4 linked regions of the Elephas maximus indicus genome follow. The protein of the gene in region 2 purifies or fractionates together with the protein of the main gene of each other region. This does not show direct contact. Links are inferred from orthologs where the notes say so. Each region holds a gene or a part of one and is shown on either strand. Other genes may lie near its edges. The genes, in order: LIN7C, PALS1, PATJ and AMOTL2.

The links.
Region 1: the proteins of PALS1 (region 2) and LIN7C purify together in Homo sapiens (affinity purification with mass spectrometry; 3 studies listed by BioGRID and IntAct, counting the BioPlex papers as one, with this or other methods). This does not show direct contact. The link is inferred for Elephas maximus indicus from reciprocal best matches to the Homo sapiens genes PALS1 and LIN7C.
Region 3: the proteins of PALS1 (region 2) and PATJ purify together in Homo sapiens (co-immunoprecipitation; 5 studies listed by BioGRID and IntAct, counting the BioPlex papers as one, with this or other methods). This does not show direct contact. The link is inferred for Elephas maximus indicus from reciprocal best matches to the Homo sapiens genes PALS1 and PATJ.
Region 4: the proteins of PALS1 (region 2) and AMOTL2 purify together in Homo sapiens (affinity purification with mass spectrometry; 3 studies listed by BioGRID and IntAct, counting the BioPlex papers as one, with this or other methods). This does not show direct contact. The link is inferred for Elephas maximus indicus from reciprocal best matches to the Homo sapiens genes PALS1 and AMOTL2.

What each region holds. Positions count from the first base shown.
Region 1 is NC_064825.1:82,361,735-82,369,405, forward strand, and holds the start of LIN7C (protein lin-7 homolog C), read right to left. Parts: upstream 3,008-7,671; 5' UTR 2,981-3,007; coding exon 2,944-2,980; intron 1-2,943. UniProt on the Homo sapiens protein: Plays a role in establishing and maintaining the asymmetric distribution of channels and receptors at the plasma membrane of polarized cells.
Region 2 is NC_064828.1:79,588,960-79,596,765, reverse strand, and holds the start of PALS1 (protein PALS1), read right to left. Parts: upstream 3,015-7,806; 5' UTR 2,887-3,014; intron 1-2,886. UniProt on the Homo sapiens protein: Plays a role in tight junction biogenesis and in the establishment of cell polarity in epithelial cells.
Region 3 is NC_064821.1:106,972,157-106,979,504, reverse strand, and holds the start of PATJ (inaD-like protein), read right to left. Parts: upstream 3,007-7,348; 5' UTR 2,892-3,006; intron 2,871-2,891; exon of another isoform or gene 2,343-2,870; intron 1-2,342.
Region 4 is NC_064844.1:45,186,581-45,194,524, forward strand, and holds the start of AMOTL2 (angiomotin-like protein 2), read left to right. Parts: upstream 1-4,941; 5' UTR 4,942-5,136; intron 5,137-5,162; exon of another isoform or gene 5,163-5,779; intron 5,780-7,436; 5' UTR 7,437-7,497; coding exon 7,498-7,944. UniProt on the Homo sapiens protein: Regulates the translocation of phosphorylated SRC to peripheral cell-matrix adhesion sites. Required for proper architecture of actin filaments.

The sequences.
Region 1 (7,671 bases), on a different chromosome or scaffold from region 2:
GCAAAGTGGTTAAAGGGATCAACTGCAAACTGAAAGGGAGGTAGTTCAAACCTACCAGGTGCTCCATGGGAGAAAGATGTGGCAGTCTGCTTCCATAAAGATGACAGCTTGGGAACCCTATGGGTCAGTTCTACTCTGTCCTACAGGGTCACTATGAGTTGGAATCAACTCCACGGCAATGGTTTTCTTATGTCTCAGCTGCCAACACCGTAAAATGGAAATAATGCTATCTTCCTCATAAATTACTTGACAACAGAACCAAACAATATATGGAACAGGGCCTGGCATATCACAAGCATAAGTATTATACTGGCATCAATTAATCATAAGAAATAATAAGGAGTTATATATATTTATAAAAATATATTTAGCATGTTAGGCAATTCTCAATGGGAAGTGTGAGGATAAGTGTTCAAATACGTTTTCTGAATTATGAAATTTTATAAGTTTCAGAGTCATGTTATAATAGTGTTAATGATTATCTCTACTTTATTTATTTTTTCTTGTTTTTTTTACTCCAGGGGGCTATAATACCTATTATTCTACTATTACCGTATCTCTTTTTGACTTAAAAAAAGGAAGTTCTGAATGTCATATTATACTGAAGGACTAGAAAAATTTTTTTATGGAATTATACAGCCTTTATGTTTACAGATGGAAAACTAGGAATAAACGTAAAGAAGAAAGAAGTAGATTTTTCAATTTCAGGTAATAAAAACGTTGCTGTTGTTAGGTGCTGTCAAGTTGGCTCTGACTCTTGGCAATCTTATATATACAGAACAAAAGGTTGCCCAGTCCTGTGCCATCTTCACGATTGTTGGTAAATAAAAGCTGAAAACGACGTTAATCAATCGCAATGGAAACAAACAAATCTCCACTATGATTTCCCACCACCAGGATGGCTGATGAACAGGACTGATGGTTCATCAATTATTTTGGTTTATAAAGTTAAGATACATAAGCCATATAAAAATTTCCAATTAACAAAAAATTTGCAAAAGTAAAATATTCTTTACACTGTACCTAATACGTGATTAAATGCGTTCCAATGAATCACGTTTGGATGATTCAGAAGGCACTCAGGATCTTGATCAGGCATATCAATGTGACACTGTAAAATGCATTGAACTGTTTGACAATAAAGTCTGTTAAGAATTCTAAAGAATCAGAATTGATGTTAATCTGACTGTCTTATGCTGCTAAATGGTTACCACCAGTAATGCATACTATTAATTAGAAACTGAAGAAGGGGGACCTGGGGTGGGGGGAAGGCCATAACTACCAAAACTAAATAAATGTCAAATGTGAAGTTCCCTATTATTGTGTGCTGCATGCAGTTAAAAATACAAAAGACCGCCAACATGTCAGAATCCTACAACTAGCTTTCAAAGAAAAACACCTACTCCTGTTAACACCAAACAAATTTGTTCCCAGCTACAAAGCACAGTGCCACTGTACTCAGGAGGAAGACGTCACAGTCTTAGGCCTAAGTTAGCAAATCTTCCCAGAGTAGCTACTCCTCTGTCAAAAATAATGCTTTAATAGCCTGGTGGGCTGCAGAGAAACAATTTCACTTAAAAAGAGGCTTCCCAACTGAAAACCATAAGGAACAAACTAACAATGTTAAGCATGCATTTGTTTGTGTGACGGTATGATGAAAAAGGTTTCTGTAAGTACAATAATTCTGAAAATGTATTCCCTTCTTAGAGAAGTTACTTAGCATGCAGACTGTAACTGCAAGATGTTAATATCTGCAAGATAATTTCAATCTACATTGTCATTAACCTGGTGCTATCCAGCCAATTTAGACTCCTGGACCTACACCATGTGTAAGAGAGTAATACTGCTCCTAATGGGTTTTCCTGGCTGTAATCTTTACAGAAGCAGATCACCACGTCTTTACTCTGCATTGCCAGTGGGTGGGTTCCAGCCTACAGCCTTCAGGTTAGTCCAATGCAACCCGTGTGGGCCACCCAGGGACCTACTTTGTTTACTACTGGTACTCAAATTGTTCATTCTGTACTCCTTAAGTCTCATCGATGACTTCTGACACTGCTATGTCAAACGCGTACTTTGAAATTGTTTGAAATAAAGGATTTGGGGAGGAAAGAGTGGAATGCTGAAAATCTGTAGCAGGACACTGGTAGGAGCACAGTCAAGGATTTTCAACAAGCTTTCTCTAACTACTCAGCAGAACAGGTTTTATTCTTCTTGGCATCTTTCCTAAAAGGCAAGTAACCAACTGCAGCTAGCAACTGTAGGGTTTGTACAAAACGAACGAGATTGCAATCCCAATTACTTACCATCCACCACTATTCCGCCTAGGTAACCAAGTTACGCAACTCCCTTTCCAAGACTAAGTCAGTAAAACACCTACACCACCCCTGGGAGGGGCACTAAAGGCAGGAAATACCCCGCCCCAAATACAAGTGAAGTGGTGAAAGTAACGACAGAATTTTTCCGTGTAAATAAATGGGGTTCTGTGGGAATGTACTTTGCGTCTGAAAAGCGTGCGATATGTAAGTGAAGGCGAAGACACTGGGTTTATGCACGAATATATAGAGGCACTGCGTGAGGGCTACATAACGAAAGCTCTAAGTGGTGTGTGATGTTTCCTTCTCCGGTTTACGTGTCTCTGAATGCCACGTCTGCTATGTGCAACCAGACAGCGAGTGTGTGTTTGCGAACGCAGGAATCATGTTGTGTGTGACTGTGCTGTGCTTCGGGACAGTTCGTGAGAGCAAAGGCGGGGTCTGGGTATCAATCAAGAGACCGCAAGCGCCCTCCCCGGGGTCGGGCGCAGCGACTTCGGTGGTCGCCGGAGCCAGCGCAAGAGACGCCTAGTTCCGGGTGTCGGAGCCTGGGTCTCCCCTCCTCCCCTCCGGCGACCCGGCACACTGCCACCCCCTCCGCCCATCCCGATCCGGCCTTGGCAGCACTCACCCCTCTCCAGCCGCACAGGTTCCCCTAGCGCCGCCATCTTCTCCCTTTGCCTGCAGACCCACAGGAAATGACGACAGAGGGGCATCTGTGTTGGGCGGGGCTTCGCCCGGAGGACGAGGGCCGGCTAGTATCGCGAGAGCGGGAGGTGCGGGTGAGGGTGCCGGTCCGCTGTGCAGTGGGGTTACGCCTTGGCCTCTCTGTCAGGAGTCTGGAAATTCTGGAGTGCCTTGACCTCCCGAGATTTACCAAAGCTTCTTTCCAGACACTTAGTCCTTGCCTCGGGGTTCAAGCTTTATCCTACTCTATTGGAATTCTTGGCCCCGCGTAAAAGAGTCAGGAAGCCTGGACTTCTAGTCCTTGCGTGACAATTAGCGGCTTCGTGACCCTGTACAGTTCACCCTCGCATTCCCCGAATCCCTTCTGTGGAACTGGGGTATTATCCCCAAGCTCCGTTCCATTCTTAATCTCTGGGAGTACGTGGCCATTAGGCGTGTAAATGAGATGTTGAAAATAAACTGCCTACGCATAGCACTTTCTCCTTTTGTGGCAGTTCTTTAATTTTAAAAATTCAACGGTTGAATCTTCCCTACAAATCTGTTTGAGAGTAAGGGTGGAAATGTGCGTTTAGTAAAAACAGCGTGAAACAATCTGGGTGAGGCAGAGAGCAAGGCATTTCAGTACACCCTAAAGTAATAATTTTAAAAAGCTAATCCAAAATCTCATATAAATGAAATTTTATAAAGCGAATAATATTCTCGATGCGTTACGGATTCCTAGGACCACTGAGAAGTTCCTGAATCAAGAAAAAAATAGGTTTCTAATTTCAGTTTAGATTCCACTAACATTTACCCAAGCCCTAGGCTGTGTTGACCTTGAGTTAGATGCTTTCATGTACAAGTTTTAAACATTTCATGACAGGATTACTTTAACATCTCCTGGTTGCCCTGGGTCTAACCCTCTCCATTCAGCTATTGTATTTTCTTCTCCTAATCCATCATGAATGTCACCACTACTTTTCTTTTTTTTACTTTGAACAGTGGTTTCATCACCACAGGTGTCTGTTCAGAAACTTTCAATGTTTTTTTCCCTATTTCCTATTGCTGAAACCTAGCATATTCTGACCCTAACTCATCCAACTCACCTTTTTTCTCGTTACCCCCCCAAGAGCAGCCACCACTCCATTTGAGGTAGTATATTCAAAACCATGTTTATTCCTGCTTCCAGTTTTCACTCCTGTTGTTCTTGCCTGGATTTCCCTTCTTTATCTCACCTGATTCTCTGAACTGTGTCCACCCTTAAGTTGAACCCTTTCTTCAGCTCCGTGCCAAATAAATACCACTTCTACTAAGCCTTCCCTTTTTCCATACTGTTCTTCTTTGAAGGAGCCCTGGTGATGCAGTGGGTAAAGCCGTCGACTGCTGACAGAAGGGTTGGTTAGAAACCACCAGTGGCTCTGAGGGAGACGTATGTGGCAGTGTGCTTCTGTGTAAGGATTCACAGCCTTGAAAACCTTGTGGAGTTGCTCTGTGTTGGAATTGGCTCTACCACAATGGGTTTTTTTTTTCCCCCCTCCCTTCTTTGGTCTTTCATGGCCCTTAAAAACCCTGAGGTGGTATTCATGTGCTTATCTCTTATTCAGTGTTGTCATTTGTTCTATAACAAATGTATTCAGTAAGTGTTTATTAAATGTTTAATATCTACCAGGTGCCTTGCTAGGCACTAGGAAGACAAATGCAGACATTGCTCTTATACTGTCTGGGTCCATTTCCTAACAGTTGTATGAAATTTCAGCATTCCTGGGATAAACTCAATTTGTCATGATGTATTATCATTTTATATACTGCTGGGCTTGATTTCCTAAATTTTAAAGGAATTTTTACATCTACATTCATGAGGAATATCAATCTGATTCTTTCTTAGCATGTCTTTGTCCGGTTTTCGTATCAGGATAAGGGTAGACTCATAGAATGAGTTGGCAGGTATTTCTTCCTCTTCAGTTTCTTAGAGGTGGTTGTGTAGAATTAATATTATTTATGTCCTAAAGGGTTTGACAGAACTCACCAACATAGTCATCTGAGCCTAGATTTGCATATATATATATATATGTGTGTGCCCATGGGAAGGTTTTTAACCACAAATCCAATTTTTAAAATACATAGGGATATTTAAAGAGCATATTCTTGAATGAGCTTTGGTAGTAGGTATCTTTCAAGAAATGTGTCCATTTTATCTAAGCTTTATTGAATTTATTGACAAAGTTGTTAATAATATTCTTATTATTTTTATTTAGTCTTCCCTCTCTTTTTTCTAAACCATTCTAGATAGAGTATATCAATTTTATTGATTTTCTCTATGAGCCAGAACTGGTTTTCTCTATTTTTTTTTTTATTGTTGTTCTTATATTTATTGTTTCCTTCATTCTGCTTAGAGTTTAATTTGCTCTTCTTTTTTCTGACTTCTTAATGTGCAAGCTGAGTTCTTTGATTTGAGCTTTTCTCCTTTTCTAATACAGGGATTTAAAACTATAAATGTCCCTCTAAATTTTGCTTTATCTGCATCTCACAAATTTTCATTCTCCTCAAAATACATTCTGGTTTTCTTCTTCCACCCAAGAGTTATTTAGAAGTGTTCATAGTTCCCAAATATATGCGGGTATTTTAAAGATATCTTTTTGTTATTTCTGATTTTTTTCCATTGTGATTAGAGAAAATATTGTATACGATTTGAGTTATTTTAAATATATTGAGACTTGTTGCCTTGCCCAGAATTTGTTCTATTTTGGTAAAGGTTCTGTGTGTACTTAAAAGGAACTAAAGTCTGCTGTTGGGTAGAATGGTCTATAAACGTCAATTAGGTCAAGGCCGACGGTGCTGTTTAAATATTTTATATCCTTACTGTGTTCTATCTACTTTTTCTATCAAATATTGAGAGAGAAGTGTTGAAATCTCTGACTCAAATTGTGGATTTGCCTATTTCTTTTTGCAGTTTTGTTATTTCTTGCTTCATGCATGTTGAAGCTCTGATATTAGTGCATACATATTTATTTCCTCTTATTAAGTTGACTTCTTTATCATATGCTTTTATTTCTTTATCCATGGTAATATTGTTTGCTCTGAAATCTGCTATGAAATAGAGCCACTTGAGCTTTCGATTAGTATTACTGTTGTATGTCATTTTTCATTCTCTTACTTTTAATGTATTTTTGTGTTTATATATTGTGTTTTTATTTAAAGTATTTATATGTAAATTATATGCATATAATTGTGTCATGCTTTTTATCAAATCTCACCATCTCTGCCTTATAATTGGCAGAGATTTTAAATGCAAAATCACATTTATATTTAATGTGATTATTGATAAATTTCAGTTTAAAATCTAGCATCTCACTATTTGTTTTCTATTTGTCCTATCTGTTGTTTGCTCATCACCAACAGATGTGCACTGCAAGAAATGTTACAGGAAGTTCTTCAGGCAAAAGGAAAATAATTCCAAAAGGAAATGCTGATCTATAGAAAGGAACAAAACTATGAAATAGATTGTTTAAAACAAAAATTATAACAACTTATTGAGGTTTACCAAAGGAGAAGGGGAAGTAGAAATATACTGTTGTAAGATTCTTATACACGAAATGGTATATTACTTTGAATGTAGACTTGAATAAGTTAAAGCAACTATGAGAGAGAGATAATAAGCCAAAAAAGAGAAAATGGAATCTTAAAAAATAATCAATCCAAAAAAAGATAGAAAAGGTTGATATAATTATTTTTTTAAATACATGCTGTTGTTGTGTGTCACTGAGTTGATTCCGACTCATTGCAAGCCTATGGGGCAGAGTAGAACTCCCCATAGGGTTTCCTAGACTGACATCTTTATGGCCGCATATTGCCAGGTCTTTTCTCCCATGGAGCAGCTGGTGGGTTCTAACAGCTGACCTTTTGGTTAACAGCCAAGCACTTAATCATTGCACCACCAGGGCTCCTTAAAAATACATAATCTATGTTATATCTTATCATGGATAGAAAAAAACTTCATATCCTCTTTTTATAATGGCCCTAGTTCAAAAATAAAAACTAAGGTAGGGCAATTGTGGCTTTTAATCTGGGGTGCCAAAATTTAAAATGATTTTTTAAAATTCCGCAAATTTTAATTGCTTCTCTGACCCACTCTGGCAACAGTAGGGAGCTCTTCTTTGGGTCCCAGCCAGGAATCCAGAGAGAAAGCAGGAGCTAGAGACCCAAGGTCAGGGGCAAGGAGAAGCAGTGTGGCCACCAGCCAGGCCAGAGAGGACCCGTTTGTGAGCTTAGGATACCTCCTCCCCTGGTGAAGTATAGACGGTGTGGCACCATGCATGGTTAACTAAGGGCTCTCCTTTGTAGGGTCTGGGGGCAGAACATCTTCCCTCAGAATGGATAAGGGCATGGCAGGCAATGTATTTGGCCTGTCTAGTATATTACGTATACATTTGGGAAACAACATGTTTCAAATTTGATGAGTAGCAGTTTGATATTACGGGAAAAACACTGGATTAGGTGTCAGGAGCTTTGGTTTCTAATCATGGCTAAGCCACCAAGAGATAGTGTGACCTTGAGAATATCACTTTCACTATATGCTCCAGATCTGTATCCTCATCTGTTGACTAAGATCTGTCTGCATATGAAAATTGTCTATAACCAAACCCATTGTCGTCGAGTAGATTCTGACTCATAGCGACCCTGTAGGACACAGTAT
Region 2 (7,806 bases):
TAGCTAGAGGCTTACCCAAGAGAAATGAAAATTTATGTTCACACAAAAACCTGCTGATAAAGATTTACAACAGCTTTATTCATAATCACAAAAAACTAAAAATAGCTCAAATGTCCTTAAATTGGTGAATGGATGAACAAACTGTGGTACATCCATACAGTGGAATGCTATTAAAAAAAAAAAAAAACCCAAACCCATTGCCGTCAATTCTGACTCATAGCAATACTATATTCACCAGTAAAACAGAAAAAACTGCTGTTACACTCAACAATGTGGATGAATCTCAAATGTATAATGCTAAGTGAAAGAAACCAGATTTAAAAGGTTATATACTGTATGATTCCATTTACATGATATTCTAGAAAAGATACAACTACAGGGAAGACAACAGATCATTGGTTACCAGGGGCTAGCAGGGAAGAGGAAGGTTGACTACAAAAGGGCAGCACGAGAGAATTTTGGGTGGTGGGACTCTTCTGTGTCTTGATCGTGATGGTTGCACAGCTTTATACATTTGTCAAGATAACTGTACACCAGAAGGAGTTTATTTTATTTCATATAAATTAAGGACAATGTTAAAATCCTTTAAAAGGAGGGAAACAAAATACACTTCTCACCCACAAGTGGCAGATACTTTTAAAATCTAATAATGCCTAATGTGGGCAAGGATGAGAAAGCACTGAGACTCAAATTGTTGGCAGGTATGTAAACTGGTACAATTTTAGAAGGTACTTTGTATATAACTAGTAAAGCTGAAAATGCATATCAACCTATGACTCAGTATTTCTTCTTACAGGTAGGTATACATCTAGGGAAATCTTCGTACATGTGCTAAAGGTGACATGCACAAGAATATTCATTAAACATGGTTTGAAAAATTGAAAACAACTCTTCAGTAGGGGAATGAACAAACTGTAATTAGTGGTTATTAAAAAAAAGAAGAAAAATTTGAATAAGGGAAAGCAACCTCACCGATTTCATGTAATGATTTTGAGAAAGGTAACTTAGTGGTTTGTTCACTTATAGTAATAGAATATAGCGAAAAGAGCACTGGACTTGGAATCTGGAGACAAGTAGTTTAGCATTTACTTCCAACTATGCCACTAACTGGGCTGGGTATGCCACTAACTTAAGAGTCAGACTATGGGCTACTCAATTGCTACAAGCCTCACTTTTCCCTGACAAATAAGATAGGTAACAAAGTCACTAAGATTATTTCCAACTCAATGATCCTATGATTCAATAAGTGTACACTGTAATCAAAAATTATATTCCAGAGCACTTATCCATATTGAGGAACAATTTTTCCCAAAACCCCCCAAATCAGAAATCAGAGAAATAGGGCAACTTAGTATACCAATACATAAATGGACCAAATTTCTTGGAATATGTGTGATGAGGTTTTAAATAAAGACCATAATTCACGAAGAGCATATAAATAAACATTACTAGACCACATCAGCTAAACCGACTATACTGACTTGAGTCACCCTCAGGTGGACTGGTACATCTCTCCCTTTTTAATGTTCTGTAACAAGCTGAATTATGAATGCCTTTCCCTTTACTTGTCAACTTTAAGTTTGGCTAGCCGAAAGTCACTCAAGTACAGTGTTTAAGATTTATGCAATTTTTTTACAAAGATAAAATGAGGAATTGCTTTTCATACTTTTGCCTGTTTTATTTCTGAAGCTCTTACATTATTACTAATAGCTTCAGTCTAATACAATAGCCTTTTGAAATTTATGACATGCTATGTCCACAGGGATCTAGTTCATAATCCATGAAGTATGAATAACTTTTATTACCACCAACTTATATTTCAAAGACACCAATAACCAGTATTTCATTTGTGCCTACTGCAGAATTTAATAGGTAATTAACTTCTGGTATAATCCAAAGGCATAATTAGAATACAATTATTAATATCACTATGAGTCGGAGTCGACTGGACGGCAACTTTTTAATAATCATTAATATCAGAAATATTAACAGCTTGTCAGTCAACTTAAAATTTCAAAATTCTTATTCACAAGTTTTCCAAATGGAAATTCTTAACAATTCTAAACGAATATGGAGACAAAACACACACAACTACATACTCCTTCTAAAAACCTTCTGGTGATCAGATTTTAATTTTAGCGTAAACCGCCAAGAAAAATCTTTCGACCGAAACCTAAATTCCGTACTCATTACTGTACGTCGCATCAACTGAACAGGTGAGTTGTTATTAGGAAGTTACATAATTTGCTGCAAAAACCGAAACGCCTTTCATTGAAACGTAGCTTACAATCTCCAGCTTCAACGTTCACTTTGCAATCTCCAAGTATCAGAAACCATTAACCATTAGGCTCTTTAAAAAAAAGGGGTCACAAGGAAGCAAGAAGCTCTTTATTTGTTGAAAGAACGCAATGAGCAGCGGAATACCGGGAGCTGAGTCAGGCAGGGGAACGCATTCGGCCTTTTAAAGTGTTCCCCCCACCCCCACTCCCTGCCGACATCCCCTACCCGGCCAGAAGGGAGTCGCGAGCTCAGAGGCTGGAACGCAAAGGGCAGGCGATACCCGGCGCGTTCCTGCAAGCCGGGCCTGGCCGACAGGAGCCCCCGCCAAGGTGCGTCCCTTCGCCAGCCAGGACAGAAGGAACGGGTACTGCGCAGGCAGCGTTCCTCCGAGGGACAAAGGTTAGCCTCACGCCCTCGGCGGCCGCGGCTCCCGCTGCCTGGGGCAGTCCACAGAGCAGCCCCGGGTCCCTCCCCGGCGGAGCGCGCGGCGCGCGGGGGGCACAGGGTCCCGGCCGCCGCGGCTCCCGACCGCCCCTCCCCCGCCGCGCTCCCGGGAACCTGTTGATTAAGATCGCCACACCGAGCTGCGCCCCGTCTGCCTCTTACCTTCGCGCCACGGCCGCCGTAGATCCTCCCGCCCCAGCCGCTCCTAAGCACTGCAGAAGCGACGGCCCTCCGGCAGCCCTTGAAATATCGCATAAAGAATCCAGAAACTCCCGATTCCCCACCTCGCAATCCTTAGTCCCCGCCCCCGCCCCGCCGCCAGCCTCCTCCGTCGCCGCCGTCGCCACAGCCGCCAGCGGCTCCACCTCGAGACCGCGCGAGACCGGCCCCCGCGGCTTCCGCGAGACCGCGCACGCGCCCCCGGCACTCTGGCGAAGCGGACGCGCCTATCCCAGTGCCTCCCCAGTGCGCCCCGCCCACTGCTCCGCAGAGAGGCTGGCGCGGTTCGTCCAATCCTGAGACGGCGGGGAGAAAGTGCCTGCTCATTGGCCCTCTCTGCAGCTCCCGAGCGGCCGGTCGCGCGCACTCGCGCGCCTCTCAATATAAAATGCTAGCTGCTTCAGGCCCGCAGGCATCAGGCAGTTGCTTTGATTTAAGCCTGCAGTTTAGGCTGCATGGGGACGCAAGGGTACCTGAGCCAACCAAGCTCATGTTCTACAGCCCTTGGCGCTTCTTTCCTTCGATGATCGTCACCTACTGAAGAAAATCTGATTTCCCTCTGAGGTGACTGCTTGTTCTGTCAAGCACATGACATAATCTAACATTTGTTTCAGAAATAAGCCATGGCCTGATTAAAAATCTGGTGTGTGTAGTGTCCTACAGAAACATCCTCTACTACCGCAGAAGACTCCAAAAAGCTATCAGCTGGACACAGTTTTCTGAAAACCTGAAAGAAAGAATTCCTAGGACCAAAATCTTGCTTTTGGAATGGATTTAGAGTTACCTAGGCCAACGCCTGAATACTTCTGTTTTGGAAGAAGTACAGCCAGAATGCTTCTTAGAAGCAAGGATGGCAAGACTTTGTCTCATATACTTTGGACATGTTATCAGGAGGGACCAGTCCCTGGAGAAGGACATCATGCTTGGTAGAGTAGAGGGTCAGTGACAAAGAGGAAGACCGGCAACGAGATCAACTGACATAGTGGGTGCAACAATGGGCTCCAACAAAGCAGTGGTTGAGAGAATGATACAGGACCAGGCAGTGTTTTGTTCTGTTGTACTTGAGGTTGCTATGAGTCGGAACCAACTTGACAGCACCTAACAACAACAAGCCAACCCATGTGCAACACAAGGCTGGTCCACTCAGGACCTGTTTATGTTCCCTTCTGAATAGGGCAGAATTCTGGGAGTGAGTTCCATAGGGCAAGAAATTCAAAGCAGATTGAAATGCATTCTAACCATTTTATAGAAGCCTGATCAAAAGAAGGAAAGTACAAAACAGAAATTCAAATTTTCGTGGACTCCGGACTTCCTGGAGCCATGAATGTTGAATGAACCCCTGAAACTATTGCCTAATGTAATCTTTGAGCCTTGGATCAAAGATACACCCTGGGGCCTTCTTGGAACCAAACAATAGTTTAGCTTATCTAATGAAAGATATCTGCCTTGAGCATTGTGCTCTTTTAAGAACTACCTATGGAAACAAATTGACAACAGCAACCTGAAAGATTGGATGGGAAGCTTAGGGGGCAGTAAGTTTGTGTTAATGGAGGAGCAATTCTCCAGGGGAGTGGTTGCACAGGTCAAGGAGTGTGATCAGTGTCACCGGATGGTGCGCGTGGAGGCTGTTGAATTGGTGTATGTTTTGCTGTGTATATTCTCAACAACAAAATAATTTTTTTTTTAATGCATTCTAACTAGAAATAACAGCAAATTTACCTCAACACTTATAATAAATCCATTGTATGGTCTCTGCTTTGACAGTAAGCAAGAACTCTGTGTTCCAAGGCGCCGTGCCCCACTCTTGAACGGTTCTAATATTTACTAATTAACCTTTCTGTTAGGCTGAAATCTGCCTTTCTGTCACTTCTGCCTATTGATGCTAGTTTCTCCCAGAGGCATGCTTATTGTATTTAGCCACATCTTCCTCAAAGCACTTCTGTTATGTCAATTATCATGTCCTTCCTCTTTTCCTCTCATTTTCCCATCTTCAGTCGCAATATCCCCAGGTCTGTACTTGCAAGTTCTTTCACCTTCTTCTAACTCTCCTCTGGACATCTATGGGTGAACTGTGGTGCCCTCGACTAAGCAAATCACTTTTCCAGGTGGCCAAGATCTCTTTGGATCCCTACCCTTCCTAGAGTTTTTTTTTTTTTTTTTTTTATCATCCTCGTATCTGATCAGCATTCCATCCAAGTCTTTATCCCAGTCATTTATAAGTGTTTAATAAGACAGGGATGAGGATGGGACTCTGCAGGACGTCACTAGAGCTCTTAATCCTCCTGCCATCAAATGTTTATCGGTAGACTCTGAGTACAGACAATCAGCTGCAAACCTACCTGAGCTGTCTTCCTGCCATTTTCCTCCACGGAGATACCATGAGAATTTGTGAAATGTACAACCGAAATCCAGATAAGCAGTCTCCAGGATTCCCTAGAAACTGTTACTCATCCCCAAAAAGGAAAAATGGTTAGCATGGTATGACTTATTTCCTTTCTAAGTTCTTAAATGCATAAAATAAATAATAATTCAGGGAGCTTCCTCTAACTGAGCATTTCTCAACCTCGGCAGTATGGGCCTTTGGAGCTGGATAATTCTTTGTGGTGGGGGGCTGTCCTGTGCATGGTAGAATGTTGAGCAGCATTGCAGACCTCTCTCCATTAGAGGCCAGTAGGCCTGCTCCACTGCCAGTTGTGACAATAAAAAATGTCTCCAGACTTTGCCAAAGGTTCCCTGGTGGGGCAAAATCACTTCCAGTTAAGAACCACTGATATCTAGCTATTCAATGAATTGACCTCTAAAGAGAGTATTTCAAACCCATACCTTCTAATTACCTGGCCTCAGGCAGTACAGGTAGTCCCCGTCATAACAATGATATTCGAGTTACAAAGAATCTCACTTATTTTTTTTTAATGATTTGTTTAATATTTTATGTACACACGAATATATTAAAATATGTCTGTAAGTTTATATGTAATGTTTCCAACCCTCAAAGAGAAATAAAGATTGGATTTATAAAGATACTGACAATAAAAGGCAATAATAATGAAAAAATTTTTTAAATGAGGCATTCGACTTAGAACTAACATGACAGAGTCACTGGAACTGAAACCCATTTTAAGTCAGGGACTACCTGTATGCAAAACATCCCCGTTCAAATGAACCCTTCAGGTACCGAGCCCTTGCTCCCCTAGCTGCTCAGATCCCTCTGTCACAGAACCTCATCCTGGAAAAATTATGATTACTATCAGTTTGAGGTAGCAGCCACTGCTCTCAAAATATGTGGGAATTCCTTTGTGAAGTGTTATACGGATGTTTATTATTATTATTATCTCCTAAAAGTATTTTCATTTTAATAGAGGGCAGTAAACCCTATGGCAAATAAGGAATCTACTCTCTCATAAATTGAGACATTCTCAATTTCCAAATGACACAAATTACTGGTCTTGTTGAAGGGAAAAAAAAAAAGAAGGGTAACTAAAAGAGTAGAAAGTATAGAAACTGGAGGCAAGGTGATTGAATGTGAGCTTTAGCTTTGCTGAGAAGTAGTTCTGTAATTTGGATGCATGACAAGCTTCTTGGGCCTAAATTTTCTCATCTATAATGTAAGGAAGTTAACTACTAAGTAGTTTTTTCTAGATTCTGGTAGCCTTTGCATATGGTGTCTAACGTGAATACTATATCCATTGCTGTTAAGTTGATTCCAACTCATATTGACCCCATAGGACAGAGCGGAACTGCCCCCATGGGGTTTACAAAGCTGTAATCTTTATGGAAGGAGCCCTGGTGGTGCAGTGGTTAAGCACTGGGCTGCTAACCAAAAGATTGGCAGTTTGGACCCACCAGTTCCTCTGAGGAGGAAAGCATTCCATAAAGATTAAACCCTCGAAAACCCTATGGGGAAGTTCTACTCTGTCCTGTAGGGTCGCTATGAGTCGGAATCAACTCGACAGCAACTGACTTGGTTTTTTAATCTTTATGGAAGCAAACTGCCACATCTTCCTCCCATGGAGTGGCTGGTAGGTTCGAACCGTTGGGTAGCAGCCAAGTGTTTAACCATTGTGCCATCAGGGCTCCTCATAGATACTATAGGGGTTAAGAAAATATAATATTCATCTTAAAATAGAATGAAATGGGTAATCTGTGGTTTAAAACTGAGTCAGAACAGCTGTTCATCCTTGTCACGAGGCAGTTCACTCACTGAGTCATCCTGGCAAATTTGTAACCAAGTATTAAGGAGGAGGAGTGAAAGCCAAGCTGTAAAGTCAAGTGCACAAGGAGAGAAACCACTGTAAATACTTTTTGTCCTTCCTTATCTTGGCATTTCTTTAACCCATCATCTGCCAATATCCCCTATTACACGTTTATGTAATCAAATGTTGTGCTACTTTATTTCATTAAAGTTTTTAGAAAAACATACTAATATTACATCTGACCTATTTGCAACAGGTCTAAAATCTCACTTTCTAAGACTCTACCATTCACTATTATATATGAAATTTTTAACTAAAGTTATTATGTTCCTTATAGTCCTTTAACTAATGTTATTATAAGGTTTTATCACCTCTATGTACTAGTGAAGTCTAGGTTTTCATAACTAAATACTAGGTTAATTACTTATAATTTTCTGAACCAGATGATCACAGATAACCTAAATCAAAAGAGTAGATTCACTAATTCAAATATAAGAGAAGTTATGAAACAACAACAAATTAATAGTTACCTTTTTTAAAATTATTAAATAAATATCTAAAAGAAAAAAAACAAAAAGCAAACTGACAAACCAGGAACATTTCTAATTTAATTGGGTTTTATAATTATTATTATGTTTGTTCAGAACTTCTTGACCTTTCATAAATCTGG
Region 3 (7,348 bases), on a different chromosome or scaffold from region 2:
ACAGCGGTCTGATCCGCAACTGGTCATGGGGATGGCACAGGACCAGGCAACGTTTCATTCCCTTGTACATGGGGTCGCCATGATTCAGGGGCCCACTTGACGGCAGCTCTTATCCAAGTAATTATCAGTGAGAACACTCACTAACTTGAGCTCCTCCTGATAAAAATAGCACAACTCCATAATTTTATCACAATTACACATCACAGTGAAGAAGAAAAAAGTGGGAGAATAATGGTTTACCGTTTACAAAACACATCTTAAACACTATTTCATTTAAACCTCCCAAAAACTCAGGAAAATGGAGAAACAGAGTCAAATGTTCCAAGTCTCAAAATTCTAGAGACTGCACAATTGTGCACACATTAAAAATAAGTGGAAGGTACATTTTCAGCATTAATCTATCCCACTGGCTAAAGAATTGGTATAACAGGCAGTAAATTTCCATATACACCAGAGTTAAAACAAGGGCTTTAAAAAAGGGCATCCAAATCTATGCAAAAGTCCTTACATAAGAAAAAACAGCAAAGGTCAAGCAATCTCAAACATTAGGGTAGAACAGTCTTTGGTTTAACAAAAAAACTTTACTACCAAAATAAGAAAAATTTTAACTGAATAAATTAGACCCCATTTTGACTTCCCCACCCTAATGCATTTTGTTAAACTTTAACAGAGCTATTGGAGTGTTAGCAAATAAATGCAGACTGTTAAGTTTAAAAATAATTATTAAATGCTTTTAAGTAAAAACACAATTGCAAGGATAACTAAATGATGAGCGCCACTGTCTCAGAATCGTAGGGTTCCAAACATGAACTCACTATGGGAAAATACACAAATTTTTCTTTTTAATTGTAAGAATACTAACTGAAAGAAAATACAGTACAATGTTATTAGTGGTTACCAAATGGAGGGTGGAAGGCACACATACTCTGTTAGCTCCGTTTTTTAAGGTTTCTCCAATTTTTTACAATGAATACATATTAGTTTTATACTTAGAAATACATGTTACAAAAACAGTAATAAGTATGTGATTTGAACTTATCTTTAAACATAAATGAGGGTTTAAAACAATTTCTATCCAACTTTAAAAGAGACTATTATTCTGATAAGGAGCCCTAGAGACACAATAATTAAGCACTTGGCTGTGAACCAAAAGGTCAGTGGTTTGAACTCACCAGTGGCTCCACAGAAAAGACCAGGCAATCTGCTAACAACAGCAATTATCATATAACGTGGGCTTGACATCAGAACAATTGCTGTATGTTGTCCAGATGATTCAGACTCATAGGGGCCCTACGTGACAGAGGAGAACTACCCCACAGGCTGAAATCTTCACGGGAGCAGATTGCCAGATCTTTTCTTCTGCAGAGCCACTGTGAGTCCAAACCACCAACTTTTTGGTTAGTGGCAAGTGCTTAATCACTGACCTGGTGGCAGGGCTCCTTGTATGACCATAAACAGGATCTAAACAAGTAAGGGCAAATCTCTTTACAGTCCAGTTTATAAATTATGTCACATTAAGCACCTCCTAACTTTCTAACAATGGACTCATACAGACCAGTGATGGTGAAGATGGCACAGGACTGGAAACATTTCCTTCTGTTATATATAAGGCGGTTGGGAGTCGGAGCCCGCTGAAAAGCAACTAACAACAGTTTTCTAACTTTCTAATTATTAAAAAATTTTTTAATATTTATAAAGGCCGTTCATGCTCCTTCTGGCGAAAAGTCATGACCTCACCTAACATTTTCTGGTGTCGCAACATGGACCAACATGAGTTTTCAGCCCCAAACCTCCCAAGCTTTCCTTCAAAAAAACATGTGTGCAAATGATTTGACATTGTCAAATTGACAGTCAAAAAGAGCTTAAACGGCATAGAATATGGTAGAATCACCATCCGTGGAACTGAGATTTCCTTTTCCTCTAGGTCTTCAGAAGGCTTCTTTATTCATTTAAGAAACACTTGTTGAGCACCTACCAATAGCCAGACCGTAAATGCAACTGAAAAACAACCTAGAGAAATAAGGTCCTGAAGGGATAACCTACTCAACGGCAGTGACAAACCAGTAAACAACCCATTCGAATTCAAAGTGATAAGAGCCATCTGGCGATAGGACACAATGCTAAACGAGCACTCCAGAGGGAGATTAATTCCGCCTGCTAGGCTTGCAGGAGGGGCGGGGCGCTCCGCAGTGTGGGATGGATCTGAAAATGCTTTCCTAGAGCTTGACTTAAAGCAAGAATCCAGGAACTTCCCCCAAAAGCTAGGGGCCAGAGCGTTTTCCTCCAAATCTTCCCCATCTACCAAGTGAGGCTACCAGAGCCCTGGCCGGCCTGACGCTGACCTGGAAACCTCGGCGACGTGACGACTGGGCGACCGTCGAGACCGGGCCAAGTCGCCCGTCAGGCGGGACAGGCCACTCTCTCCTTCTCCGGGCCCCCGAGGCAGGACACCACCTATTCACTCCTCCCACTATCACCAGTTGAGGGAAAAACTCTGCCCAGCTCTTGGGGCGAAGCGTAGGCACCTATCTGGGCGCAAAATCGGATCCGTGCCACTCCCGGAACAACAGCTGGCCGAGATTTGAAGACTGGCAGGGCCTACCGAGGCTTTGCAGCTCTGCGGCCGGAGGCCTCCGGCGAGCCCTGCAGGGAGCACTGGGGCCACTGTGGGATCACATGGCCCGACACTGAAGGGCAGACACCCCTGTCCGGCCGCCAGGCCCAGGGCTGACGCACGGCACAAGTGCCCCGCACCCCCCTGCCCCGGGCGAGCGCCCCGGCGGCGCTCTTCGCCTCCCTTCCCAGCTCCCTCGGATCGGGCGGAGGGCGCTGTCTGAACAGAGAAGGCAGGCTCCGGACGCAGGAGGGGGAGTCGGGAGCCCACACTTTACCTGGTCCTGCGGAGGCGCGGGTGGGAGCCCGAGGCGGACGGATCGGCGTTGGCCCTCCCTCACCTGGGCGGAAGTGAAAGGCCCAGGGTGACCGCGCCTCACCTGGCAGGCCCTCCCCTCGCACTGACCCTCCCCACCCGGGGCGGGGCGCCGGGGTGGCGGGGGTGGGGCGGGAGAGGGAGTTTGGGGCCGCAGGAGGCTGACCCGAGGAGGTATGGGCGTTTGGCATCTTTGCTTTCTGCAGGTCAAGTTCTGTTAGGAAAGGGAGCGTTAAAGAGACTTAGACCGAGACCCTAGAAAAGGCGGAATGTGGGGGCAGAGTGGGCAGATGAGACGACGAATGGGGGGCAGTTAGGTCAGACAGAAGTGCTACGGAATAGCTGGACTGATAGCAAGACCCAAGATGAAGGAAATTAAAGGAAGACATTGCTAAAATTACTTGGTCAAATCTGCTCAGTCCCCTGTTGTTCTTTTGCCCCTTTCTTTTCTCTTTCTCACATCCCTCCGTTGTGTTTTCCATACTCCCTGATGCAACATAAAATAGTCCAAGGAGAGTAAACAGAAGACAAAAGGCGTGGTTCGGTGATTCTTTTCTTCTCATCTAGTTGGAATCTATTGGAGTGCCTACGTATGCCAAAAGAAAAAAAAGCCAAACCAGTTGCCATCGAGTGGATTTCACTCATAGCGACCCTATAGGACAGAGTATAACCGCCTCACAGGGTTTACCAATGAGCGCCTGGTGGATTCGAACTGCCAACCTTTAGATTAAGGAATGTAGCTCTGAAACACTAGGCAACCAAGGTTTCCCAAGTGCTTACTTATACATTATCTCATTTAGTATGTGAAGAAATGTGCATCCAATAGCTTAATTGATTTGTCCAAGGTTTGGGACCCACACTAAGTCCAGTGTTGATTTCGCTATACATTTTAACATTTATATTCTTGATACTGTAGTTTGACTTTGAGAAAGATCTTTGTAAAACCCACAATGGCATTATTTCACTCTTGAATTCACTTTAGAATGTTGACAACAGACATTTGACTTTGTTTAAATACAGTTCACACATTAACAATAAAGACAACCAATCAAGTTACCTTTTTCATGAAATAAATGCAGTATTTATTAAGCACTGTGAAAACCTGGTGGTGTAGTGGTTAGGAGCTATGGCTACTAACCAAAAGGTTGGCAGTTTGAATCCACCAGGTGCTCCTTGGAAACCCTATGGAGCAGTTCTACTCTGTCCTGTAGGCTCACTATAAGTCAGAATGGACTCGATGGCCACAGATTTGGTTTTAGGTTTGGTGATAGACTCGGAGTCCTGGTGGCGCAGTGTTTAAGAGCTCAGCTGCTAACCAAAAGGTCAGCAATTGAATCCTTTTGTTGCTCCTTGGAAACTCTGTGGGACAGGTCTACTCTGTCGTATTGGGTTGATATGAGTCGGAATTGACTCTGGCAAGAGGTTTGGTTTGTGACAGATTCTGAGGGGACGTATAAAATGGGGTCGTTTCTCAAGGAAAAGGAGGCCCAATACAAAACAACCGTAACACAAGGACATTTGTAAGATCATGCACTTGTATTTTATAGTTATCGTTGTTTGCTTGTTTTAAAGGAAATACAACTCATTAGGCCTGCAAGAAGATCCACAATGTAAACATGGACCCAACTTTTTATGAACTAACAAACTATTAAAAGAAATAACCTTACACAAAACTTAAATTACCAAATAGAATTAAGCTAGAACCTTCAGAAAGAAAGATCTATTGTGTTTGTTGAAATGATCACTTAGGACTTAAACAGGTCTTAAAGAGTGTTTGCAGTTTGCTTAGGCAAAGTTGAGGAAATGTTTCCCAAGTTGGGGTGGGGTAGGGGAAGCAGCAAAACACCAACTTGAAAACAATGGATCTCTTCCTACTCTAACATTAATGAAAGTTATTAACATATTCCCCCTTACTAAGAAATCTTAAGTGACTTTGAAATGATCATGAAACAAATTCAAACTCCTTAGTATTTAAGTCCATCCTAACTCTTCTCTTTCTTTCTGACTCTTCAACCTTATCTCCCACTTCACCTCTCCAGGATCTTACTTTGACCAAAGAGGTCTGCTCGGCATCTGTGGAACGCACCACACCTAACTCACTCTGTTTCCCTGCCCTGGAATATCCTGTAGTCCCTATGTCCCTCCACAGCCAGGCTTAGTCTCACTTGTAAGAAACTACTTCCCTGACTATCCTAGCAAAAAGTCATCTCTATCACATTTAATTTAATTTTCTCTACATTTTTGTGTTCCTTAATTTAATGTGAGCTTTCCTTTAGCCCTTACATCAATTTTTTTTTAATTATTTAATTTATACATCTTTTAAGGAGCTTATTCTGTGCTGGGCAATATCTACCTCTGAGAATTCTGAAGAGTATCTTATCCAAAGAATGATGAAGATGTACTTAAGTTTTAAGAGCACACTCTCTGAAGTCAGAAGATCTGAGCTTGAATCCTGACTCCACCATTTCCTAAAATATGTGACATTGGCAAGTTACTTAACCCTTCAAATTCTCATCATTAGAATTGTGATAACAGTGCTCACTTCAGGTTAAATAAAGAAATACATGCATTGCATATACCTGGCATATAAAAAGCGCTAAATAAATGAAGCAGCACATAGATGGGAATAAGCATGGCAGACACTGGGACAGTGAGGAGTCAGCCAAGAAGAGTAGCAAATGATGGGGGACCAGGACAGATGATGGAGGACCTAAAAATACTACAGGGAACTTTAGATTACGGTATTAAAAGTTTATTCTTCATCCCTAAGAAAATAGGAAACCACTTTGCCAGGGGCAGGAGGGAGGGATTTGAAAGAAAGAATCATTGTTTAGGATACAGTGTGTTTCTGTTTATTAAAGCCCTGTTGGCGCAGTGGTAAAGCTCTTGGCTGCTAACCAAAAGGTAAGCAGTTTGAACCCACTAGCTGCTCTGCAGGAAAAAGATGTGGCAGTCCACTTTCATAAATACTTACACCCTTGAAAGCCCTGTAGGGCAGTTCTACTCTGTCCTATAGGGCCACTATAAGTCGGAATGGACTCAGGCTTCAGGAGTTTCTGTTTAGTGATAAAAAAAAATTGGTAACAGTTATTGGTATCCTAGAGTAAAACTCTCAGACTCTGTTAAAGTCTGTCTTACGCATCTAGTGCTGCTATAACAGAAATACCACAAGTGGACAGCTTTAACAAAGAGAAGTTTATTCTCCCACAGTCCAGTAGACTAGAAGTCTGAATTCAGGGCAGCAGCTCCAGGGGAAGGCTTTCTCTCTCTGTCGGTTCTGGAGGAAAGTCCTTGTCATTAGTCTTCCCTTGGTCTGGGAGCAACTCAGTACAGGAACCTCAGGTCCAAAGGACACACTCTGCTTGTGGCACTGCTTTCTTTGAGGTATGAGGGTCCATGTCTCTCTGCTCACTTCTCTCTTTTATATCTCAAAAGAGATTGACTTAAGAGACTATCTAATCTTGTAGATCTTTTCTGTATAACTGCCATTCTTTCATCTTATTACAACATAGTGATAGGACTTACAACACATAGGGAAATCACATCAGATGACAAAATGGTAGATAACTATGCAATACTGGGAATCATGACCTAGCTAAGTTGACAGATATTTTGGGAGGACACAATTCAATCCATGATGAAGCCAAACAAACAGATTTATTGAAAGCAGAAGGAGCATTTGAATGGGGAGACACTAGCCCATACAAAGTGAGAACCAACAAATCCAAGTGGGTGGCTGCCTCACAGGGATAGTTATAGGGCAGGATCAGGAACCTCCCAGCAAAATTCTGATTGGTTGACCCTCCCTGGGCTTGCCTGGACTTTCCTGGGCTTGCCCAGGCTGCATAGGCATAGCCACATTCTGGTAAAGATTGTTTTCTCTGACCCTTCCTGGGCTTGCCTGGACTTGTCTAAGCATAGCCTGGGCTGGACTGGACTTGTTTAAGCATAGCCACATTGTCTGTTCAGCAAACTGTTGAGATTAGTACAAGGGTCATAGCTTTAAAGCAGAAGCAGGAGTGCAAAACAAAATGCAGTCAGGCCCACTCCTAGGCCAGTCACCCTAGATATGCTAGGCACCTCTGTTCTGGAGCTCTTATCCATTCCCTCCTTTTGATCAAGAGTATTCAAGAAATCCTTTGATCAAATTATCAACCACCATTTGAGGGAGAGCGCTTTCTTCTGCATAGACTTAGATTTCTATTTCCTAATAGAACAGCATTATTAGAAGATGTTGGAAGAAAGAGAACTCTATTTTATTGCTGTCTTTCAGAGATACTTACAGATGGCTGCTTAGTATAGTGAGCCTTTAAGACCCCAGATGCTATTTATAAATACCCAGGCACAGTGTAAAATCTTCACCATGCCATAGCTGGAGCCTCTATTTCTACAGTGTTAACCTTGAAATGACATATAGTG
Region 4 (7,944 bases), on a different chromosome or scaffold from region 2:
TTCTCAATATGAGCTATGTAAGTGTGTATTAAAGGCAGCATTTCTCTAAAGACCATATGAGAATCCAAGAGAGGCCAAAATGAGAAGAAAGCTCAGTTAACACAACTGGAGCTATTAGTCCATCCTCAGAGGGCTCTGGGAGATCCCATTCCCTGGATGGAACCCTCTCCCAAACATCTTCCCTCCCACCAGGGATACAAAGCCCACCTTGGGAGCTCTGGGTGGAGCTGATCCCTCCAGCTGGAGATGAGGGTCACTAGTGGGTGCTTTTCTATCACACTGATCCTGCCCCAGCAGCCACAGAAATCTGTCCTGGGTGTTTTCTACAAGGAGCCCTGCAAACCCAGACTCCCATCTTCCTCCCCCTGCCCCCCACCCCCATCAGTATTCCTGCCATCTCTCACCAAGAGCCAGAGGGTCTTTCCAGGCAGCAACAGCATGTCCACCAGTCCAGGACCACTCAGTACAGGTAGCTTTGCAGAGAAGACAGGCGTCTGGGGTTAAGTTGATACTTCAAAATGATCTTCCCACTTTCACTGCCCCAAGGATGCCAGTCCCTAGGTCCCCACCCCCACCCCCACCCCCTTCTGATGGCTACCCAGCCAAGAATAAACTGAAGGCTGTACTCCTCCAAAGTATCCATTTATTCCCCCATGTCCATTAGACCCATCTTCTGTGTAGGACTGGGAACTGTGGGGGTTTTGGGCAATGGGTGACCCCAGAGATTGGAGTGGAAATGGGGCGATGGTCAGAGCTTCCTCCCCAGTGTCAGTCCTCACCACTTGCAGGAGTCATCCCAGCCCTGGGCCTACAGGAGCAGCAGAAGCAAAGGACCCCAGAGGAAGGCCAGGGGCCAAGGAGCAGGCGCATTTTGGAAAGTCAGGGTTCCTTCTTTTTCTAGGGCCCTGTTACCACAACTATGATGAGGCCCAATTTCACAAATGTTCCAACTCAGGAGGAATTAACCCCTGAAGACACAGACCGTGTGAGGCAGTCTGCCCCTGATGCAGAGTCCAGGCCTGATGCCTGGGAGTGGAAGGGGGTGGTGGTAGAAGGAAAAGGCTTGGAAAGAAACCTAAAGGCAGAGGGTTCAGAAAACGGGTGTGGGGGGTGGTGGACTAGGGCTTGCCGGAAGACAAAACAGGAGACCCCCAGTTCGTTTTCCTTCTGCTTTTGGAGGTAGTTGCACTGAAACTTCCAATAGCCAGGCTCTTCCTATGAATTTGTTCCCTGCCTCAGATTCGGGTGGGCTTCCTGTTTCCCATAACCTGCCAAAGGAAGCGTCCCGCAGAGGCTAGAGAGGGAATTTCACAATTGGCCGAGTCCTTCTTTGATGTTGCCACCTGGGCCTAAGCCCCTTCTCCACCAACTGACCATTTGGGAATTGGACCATTCTCTTCCTAGTTCCATGGGAGGGCCTGCTAGAGTCCAGCTAAGCACTGGCTTTCATATTCCCATTGGGTGCAGCCGGACGCAGCTGCAGGGCCAGACTGAGGCCATATCACAGGCCCAGGCCCAGGCCCAGGACGAGGCGGGACGCGGGTGTGGGCTCCTGCTTCCCTGGCTAGGCCCCGTACACACCTACAATCCAGCCACACCCCTGCAAGCTGTACTCAAGCCTGGCTCACTCTGAGAACTGGGTCACATCTGCATCTTTCCTGGGCGTGACTCCAGACCCAGTCAGCCACACTGTCATCTGGGAAGAATCTTTACCTGTTGCGGGGGGTGTTAGAAAGAGGGGGACAAGGTGTATCTGAGAGAGACAGTGCTTGGAGGGAAGTTCTGGCTCACCAGGTATTAGACACGGGGGCAGTGGCAAGCCTCTCTTCCTCTGCTATGAGCAAAGATTTCTATACTAGTGCCCACCTGTGCATGCCTGCCTCCAGCACATCTGAGCTGTGGTCACCTTCTCACCAAACGGCCCTGCAGAGCCAGGTGTGACTGCCAGCTCAGGAAAGCTTAATCCACTGGGGTCTCTGCCCTGCCTGGGGAGGCCCTGCTCTCCATCCCTCTTGCAGAGAGGAGGAGAAAGAAGAAGAAAAAAATTGAGTGTAAATTTCCCATGCAGGTTTCAGAAACCCTACTTCCCCTCTGGAAACCTTGGTGATGCAGTGGTTAAGTCCTTCAGCTGCTAACCAAATGAGCTGGAATTGACTTGATGGCAACTGGTTTGGTTTTTTTTTTGGTTTATTCCCTGTCTGTTGCTCTGGTCGCCAGGCCCTCCCCATGCCTCCTGGGCCCAGGGACACAGAGGTGAGCAGTTACAGGGGCCCGCTCATTGCCCGCAGTAGGCTTGGCCACTCTAAGACATACCTCCTTGACTCTAGCTGCCTTGAGCTGGCACCTTTCTGCAACCATCTCAAGAATGTTTGTGAGGTATTGTGTCAGGTGACTCTACAAATGCCCCTGAAACATTGTATCATGTGGCTTTTCCCCAAATTTTCCAACCTCAGGATTCACATGCTCACACACACTGACTCTCACATCTCCACCAAGTGTTTCCAAGAACACTGTCCACCCTCAGGGTAAGGCAGCCCGGGACCTCTTCTCTCTTCCTTTTCATTTTTGTATCTAGTTGGGACGGTGGCACATTGGCCAGAGCTTCTCTCTGTGAGGAAGTTCTCATGTGGTCCAATGTCCCTCAGCTTGACACGTATGGCTCGTGTTCTCATTCATCTCAAATCCAATCCCTATTCGAAATGCAATATTTGGTTTCCAACTAAACCACGTGCACTCACACACACACACACTTTTTGCGAGAGCTTTATTTTAAAAAAATCAATAATATCTCTAGCTAATAAATAACTTTCCAAGGTTGCAAAGTTTTCTTGTCTCCGGCCCCCTCCAGAGGCTCTGGGACTCGCAAACTCCATGCTCGGGGGAGGGAAGGTGGTGGGGAGAGCAGCCAAGGATGAAAGTCAGTGCTGACCATCCTGGTGGACAGAGGACAGTCCCCCAGGTGGATGTGTTGAGTTGCCCCAGGTGGGCAGGTCTGTGGGGACAGGAGGGGAAGGAGGAGGTGGGGAGGTGTGTCGGAAAAGGTTTGCAAAGAAGGTAAGGGATTACCATAGTCACAGATGGGTCAGCATATGGCAGGCTAGGAGGAGGAAGAGCCCTGGGGTAGACGAAGGGATTCCCCATGGAGGAACTCAGACATAGGGGGGCCCTGGTTGGCAGCGGTGAGGGATGAGGTGAAGAAGAGGCAAAACAGGGAGGAGGCAAGTGGAGAAAGGGAGTGCTCCCAGAGCCTGACCTGTCCATCTAGGGAGCCCTGACTCTGGGGGTCACGGAAGAGTTTTGAGAAGGAGAAACTGGGTAGGCCTGGTTACCTGGCTTCATCGTTTACTCTGTTACCGTGAGTAAGCTACTTAACCGTTCTGAGGCTTGGTTTCCACATTTATAACACTGGGATGATAACAGAACTCCCTCAGAGGGTGTCCGTGAGATCTGAACGGAGCTGCTGCGGGAAAAGCAGGTGGTGGCTCACTGCGGCGGGTGACTCAGTTAGTTACAAAAAACCCTGCGCGGTCGAGTCAATTCCGACTCAGCGACCCTATAGGACAGAGTAGAACTGCCCCATAGGGTTTCCAAGGAGTGGCTGCTAGATCCGAATTGCCAGCCTTTTGGTTAGCAGCCATGCACTTAGGCGCTACCAGGGCCCCAATTCAGTCGGTTCCAAAAAAACTCATTGTAGTCGCTTCAATTTCGACTCATAGCGACCCAATAGAACAGAGCAGGCCTGCCCCATAGGGTTTCCAAGGAGCAGCTGGTGGATTCCAACTGCCGACCTTTTGGGTTGCAATTCAGCTGATTGCCAAGAACAAACAAACAAACCCCAAACCCACTGCCTTGGAGTTGATTCTGACTCACAGCGACGGGGTAGAACTGCCCCACAGAGTTTTCAAGGAGCGACTGGTGGATTCGAACTGCCGACATTTTGGTTACCTGCCAAGCTCTTAACCACCAGGCCAGCAGAGCTCCACTCAGTTGGTTACCAAAACAAACAAACAAAATCCATTGTTTCCGACTTGATTCCGACTCATACTGACCCTACAGGACCAAGTAGAACGGCCCCATAGGGTTTCCAAGGAGCTGCTGGTGGATTCGAACTGCCGGTCTTTTGGTTACCAACCAAACACTTAACCACTGCACCACCAGGGCCCCATTCAGTTCGTTAAAATCAAAACCCATTGCCGTCGATTCCAACTCATAGCGACCCTATAGGACAGAGAAGTACAGCCTCATAGTTTTCAAGGAGCGCATGGTGGAGTTGAACTGCTGACCTTTTGGTTAGCAGCCATAGCACCTAACTACTATGCCACCAGGGTTTCCAATTCAGTTGGTTAGGTGGGTCAAATTAACCACAAGATTTTTCAACCCAGACTGACATTTCCTGTGGATCCAAAAAATACGGGTCCTAAAAGAGCTGTTGAAGGTGTCTGTAAACAATAAAAGTGCAATTCAAAGGTTGCCGCTGGGCGTGAAAGCAGTGGGGGTTAGGGACCAGGCTCAGTCGCAGAAAGCAAAGTCATTTCTTCGCCTGGGGTATGGTCCAGGCCAGGCCGATCTAGGCCTCCCTGCTGCTTCACACACACAAGCTGCGCTGTCGTCCCCTCCTGCAGCAATGCCGGGAGGCGGGAGTCCCTCCGTATTGTTCTGCCAAAGGGTTTAGGGGTGAAGGAATGAGAAGAAGGGGAGAACGGGGGCGGTACGGGGTCCAGAACTGGGAGAAAAATCGGCCCCAGCAGCTTCGACGGAAAAGGGCAGCCACGAGGCCCCTGGGCTGCCCAGGCGGGGAGCTCAGCTGCCGCCGGACGCCCAGCCCGCAGGACCGCCTCCCCGGAGGAAGGCGGGGGCCGAGAGGAGCGAACGGGAGGAGGCGAAGGGCGGAGGAGGGCGGCGGGCTGCGAGGTTATTTGTGGTTCTCTTTGATCCCGAGGGGGAACCTGAAACGCTCACATTCCTGGCATAGCAGCCGCCTCCGGCGCGGGCCGACCCTGGGGCTGCGCGTTGAGGCCAGAGCAGCCAGAGCGTCGGCGCCACTGCTGGGTGCACACCTCCGCCGCCGAGCTGAGTCGAGCAGAGCCAGGCCGGGCCGTCGGTTCCGACTGCGCGGGGCACCCACGGGCCTCAAGGGTAAGGAAGGCCGCTTGGCGCTCCGGGGAGCGCGCAAGGCCAGCAAAGACGCGACCCAGCCGAAGGCCGAGCCTTGGCGCAACCCGGCGTTTTCCGGGAGCCGGAGCCCCGCCGGTTGAGCGTCCTCAAGGCGCAGTGCGCACTTTCGAGGCGGCGGCAAAGCCGGGAAAGGGCCTTTCCGCCCAGGTGACAACGCGCCTTGCGCCCGGGTATCTCGAATTGCGCCGGTCCCCTGCGCTTGGGGAGGGTGCAGCCTCTAGGGAGATCAGGGTCGGTGTTTTGGGTCTCCGTTCGGGCATCGTGGCGCGGAACAGGGCTGGAGTCGCCGCTTCGAGTTCAGGTTGCAGGGCCTTGGGGGTTGGTTTGGTTAGGTAGGGGGGTTACAGGTGTCTTTGCCCCCAGCTAGCCCAAGAATTCGTCTTTGTCTTCCTTGGAAAATCCTCTCTGGAGCCACTAACCGGCTCTCACGTAGAAAGAATGCAGCCTGCAGTCCAGCCCGGTGACGTCAGCGCTAGAGTATTCGGAAAACAAAGAGGGCTTGGAAGGGGGAGAGGCGAACCCCGGACGCTTAAAGACCTCTTCAGGCCTTGAGCTGCGCTCGCCCGCTTCCTCCTGGCGCACCGGTGGCCACCGAGTGCTTATGGTCAGTTGGGAATAGGGGTAGGGCGAGCGTGAGCCCAGGCTAAGGCCAGAGATGCGTTCCTGCTTAGAAAAGGGGTGGCTGGGTGGGTGAGTTTAGAGAGCAGGGAGCGCTAGCGCAGCAGAGGCTGGGGTTGGGGGCGCAGATTTTAGTAAGGGCTCAGCCCTTTGGTATGGGAAAGGATGTGCAGCCGGCGGCCTGACAGGCGTAAACTCAAGGATGAGAAGCCCCAGGAGTGTGCTCTGCTCTCTAGCATAGTGTTGGGGGCCTGGAATCCGTCGGGAGGAGGATTCTGCCGCCCCCCCACCCCCACCCCCCGCCTTCCTCAGCCGGAGACAGCCCAGACAGTGATTAACTTAGGAAATGCCCTAAAGATGATGAAACTCCAGGGCAAATTGGCCTGTTTGCTCTTTTCGTCGCTGAAAACCCCGGGGTCTTGCATCTCTACTCGGGGGGCGGGGGGGGACACGGAATGGGTACCAGAAAGGTTGAGGACGGGGTGCCCTCCTGCCTCACCCCCCCGCCCGGGGCTGGTGGAGTCCTGGGGAGGAGAGAGTGGACTGGGAATGGCTGTTCTGTCCACATGCCAAGACCAAACTGAGGAAGGGCCCTGGGGCTAGCTTTGTGCCAGAGGAGGGCTGCATTCCTCCTGCTCCCCGCCCCCCCAAGACCTGTGGAGGTGTGGGTTTTGTTTGGTTTTGCCTGAATTCTGGTTTGAAGGTTTGTGTTAGAGGAGGCTGTGGAAAGGAGGCCGGGCAGGTGGGCAGCCTTCCAGGGCATGAGCCAGTGAGATGCCCAGTCTTAGAAGGGAACAACACCTTCTTTGGATACTCGTCTCCCTGCACTTTGGGCTCACAACCCCCGGGGTCCCTGCAACCCAAGGCCTCCCAATTTCCCCCTTCGCTCCTCCAGTTGGCTCAAGTAGGTGTTACTGATGTTACAAAAGATGCTGAGTGCCCATCTCCTGTATGCCTAGAGGGCCCGCAGGGGCTTTTCCAAATAGCAAGGTTGGGGGAAAGCGGGGAGAGGTGATCATAGGGCTGAAGGCATCATGCCCCTCCTTTCATTTTCCTGGAGTACCCATGCAGTTACTGTCGGCACACAGAGACTATGTGGCTAACCCACTCACCTTGATGGGTAGGATCTTTTTGCCTCAACTCACACATTGTCCTACTGCACCCTCCCGTCTTTCATCCCTTATCCACCACTTTAGATGCATTTTCTTCTTCCTGTGTACTAGCAGAGTGACTGCCAAGGTCATCCCATGACAGGGAGCCCTGAGTTCATTCTGTCAACAGCCCTTGATTAAACAGAGCCCAGGGTCTGCCCTCCAGGGAGCTCGCTGGTTCAGGGGAAAGCAAGGGAGGTGGGTAGTAGGCTCAGGGGGTAAAGGGTAGTGGGTTGGCTGTGCCGAAGCCAGGGCTCAGGCATGCTTCCTTTGGGGTAGATCTGGCTAGATCTGAGCTGGTCCCCATGGGCCTGCCCTTGAATCACTCATCTGCAGGGGCTGTGATTGCTGATTGATGACCTTCTGGGCTGCTGTTGTCTTCCTCTAGTTGTAGTAAGTCTTTGTGAATATTATTATGGTTGGACCAGGCTGTAATGGAAAGTCCTCCCCTTGCCCACGTGCTCCCACTCATTGTTCTCTCTCTCCTCTCAGGTGCTCTGGGCCCAGGTGCTGCTGGCCATTCTCCAGGCAGGTGTGTGCAAGCCAAGGAAGAATGAGGACGCTAGAAGACTCCTCGGGGACAGTCCTGCACCGCCTCATCCAGGAGCAGCTGCGCTATGGCAACCTGACCGAGACACGCACACTGCTGGCCATCCAGCAGCAGGCCCTGCGGGGTGGGGCTGGAGGCACAGGGAGCCCCCAAGCCTCCCTGGAGATCCTGGCACCTGAGGACAGTCAGGTGCTGCAGCAGGCCACGCGGCAAGAGCCCCAGGGCCAGGAGCACCAGGGTAGCGAGGCCCATCTGGCAGAGAATACCCTGTACCGGCTGTGCCCACAGCCCAGCAAGGGCGAGGAGCTGCCCACCTATGAGGAAGCCAAAGCCCACTCACAGTACTATGCGGCCCAACAGATGGGACCCCGGCCACACATTGGGGACCGGGAGCCACGCAGGGCCACAGGAGGCGGTCAGCAGCAGGACGAGGCCCTTCGGGAGCTGAGG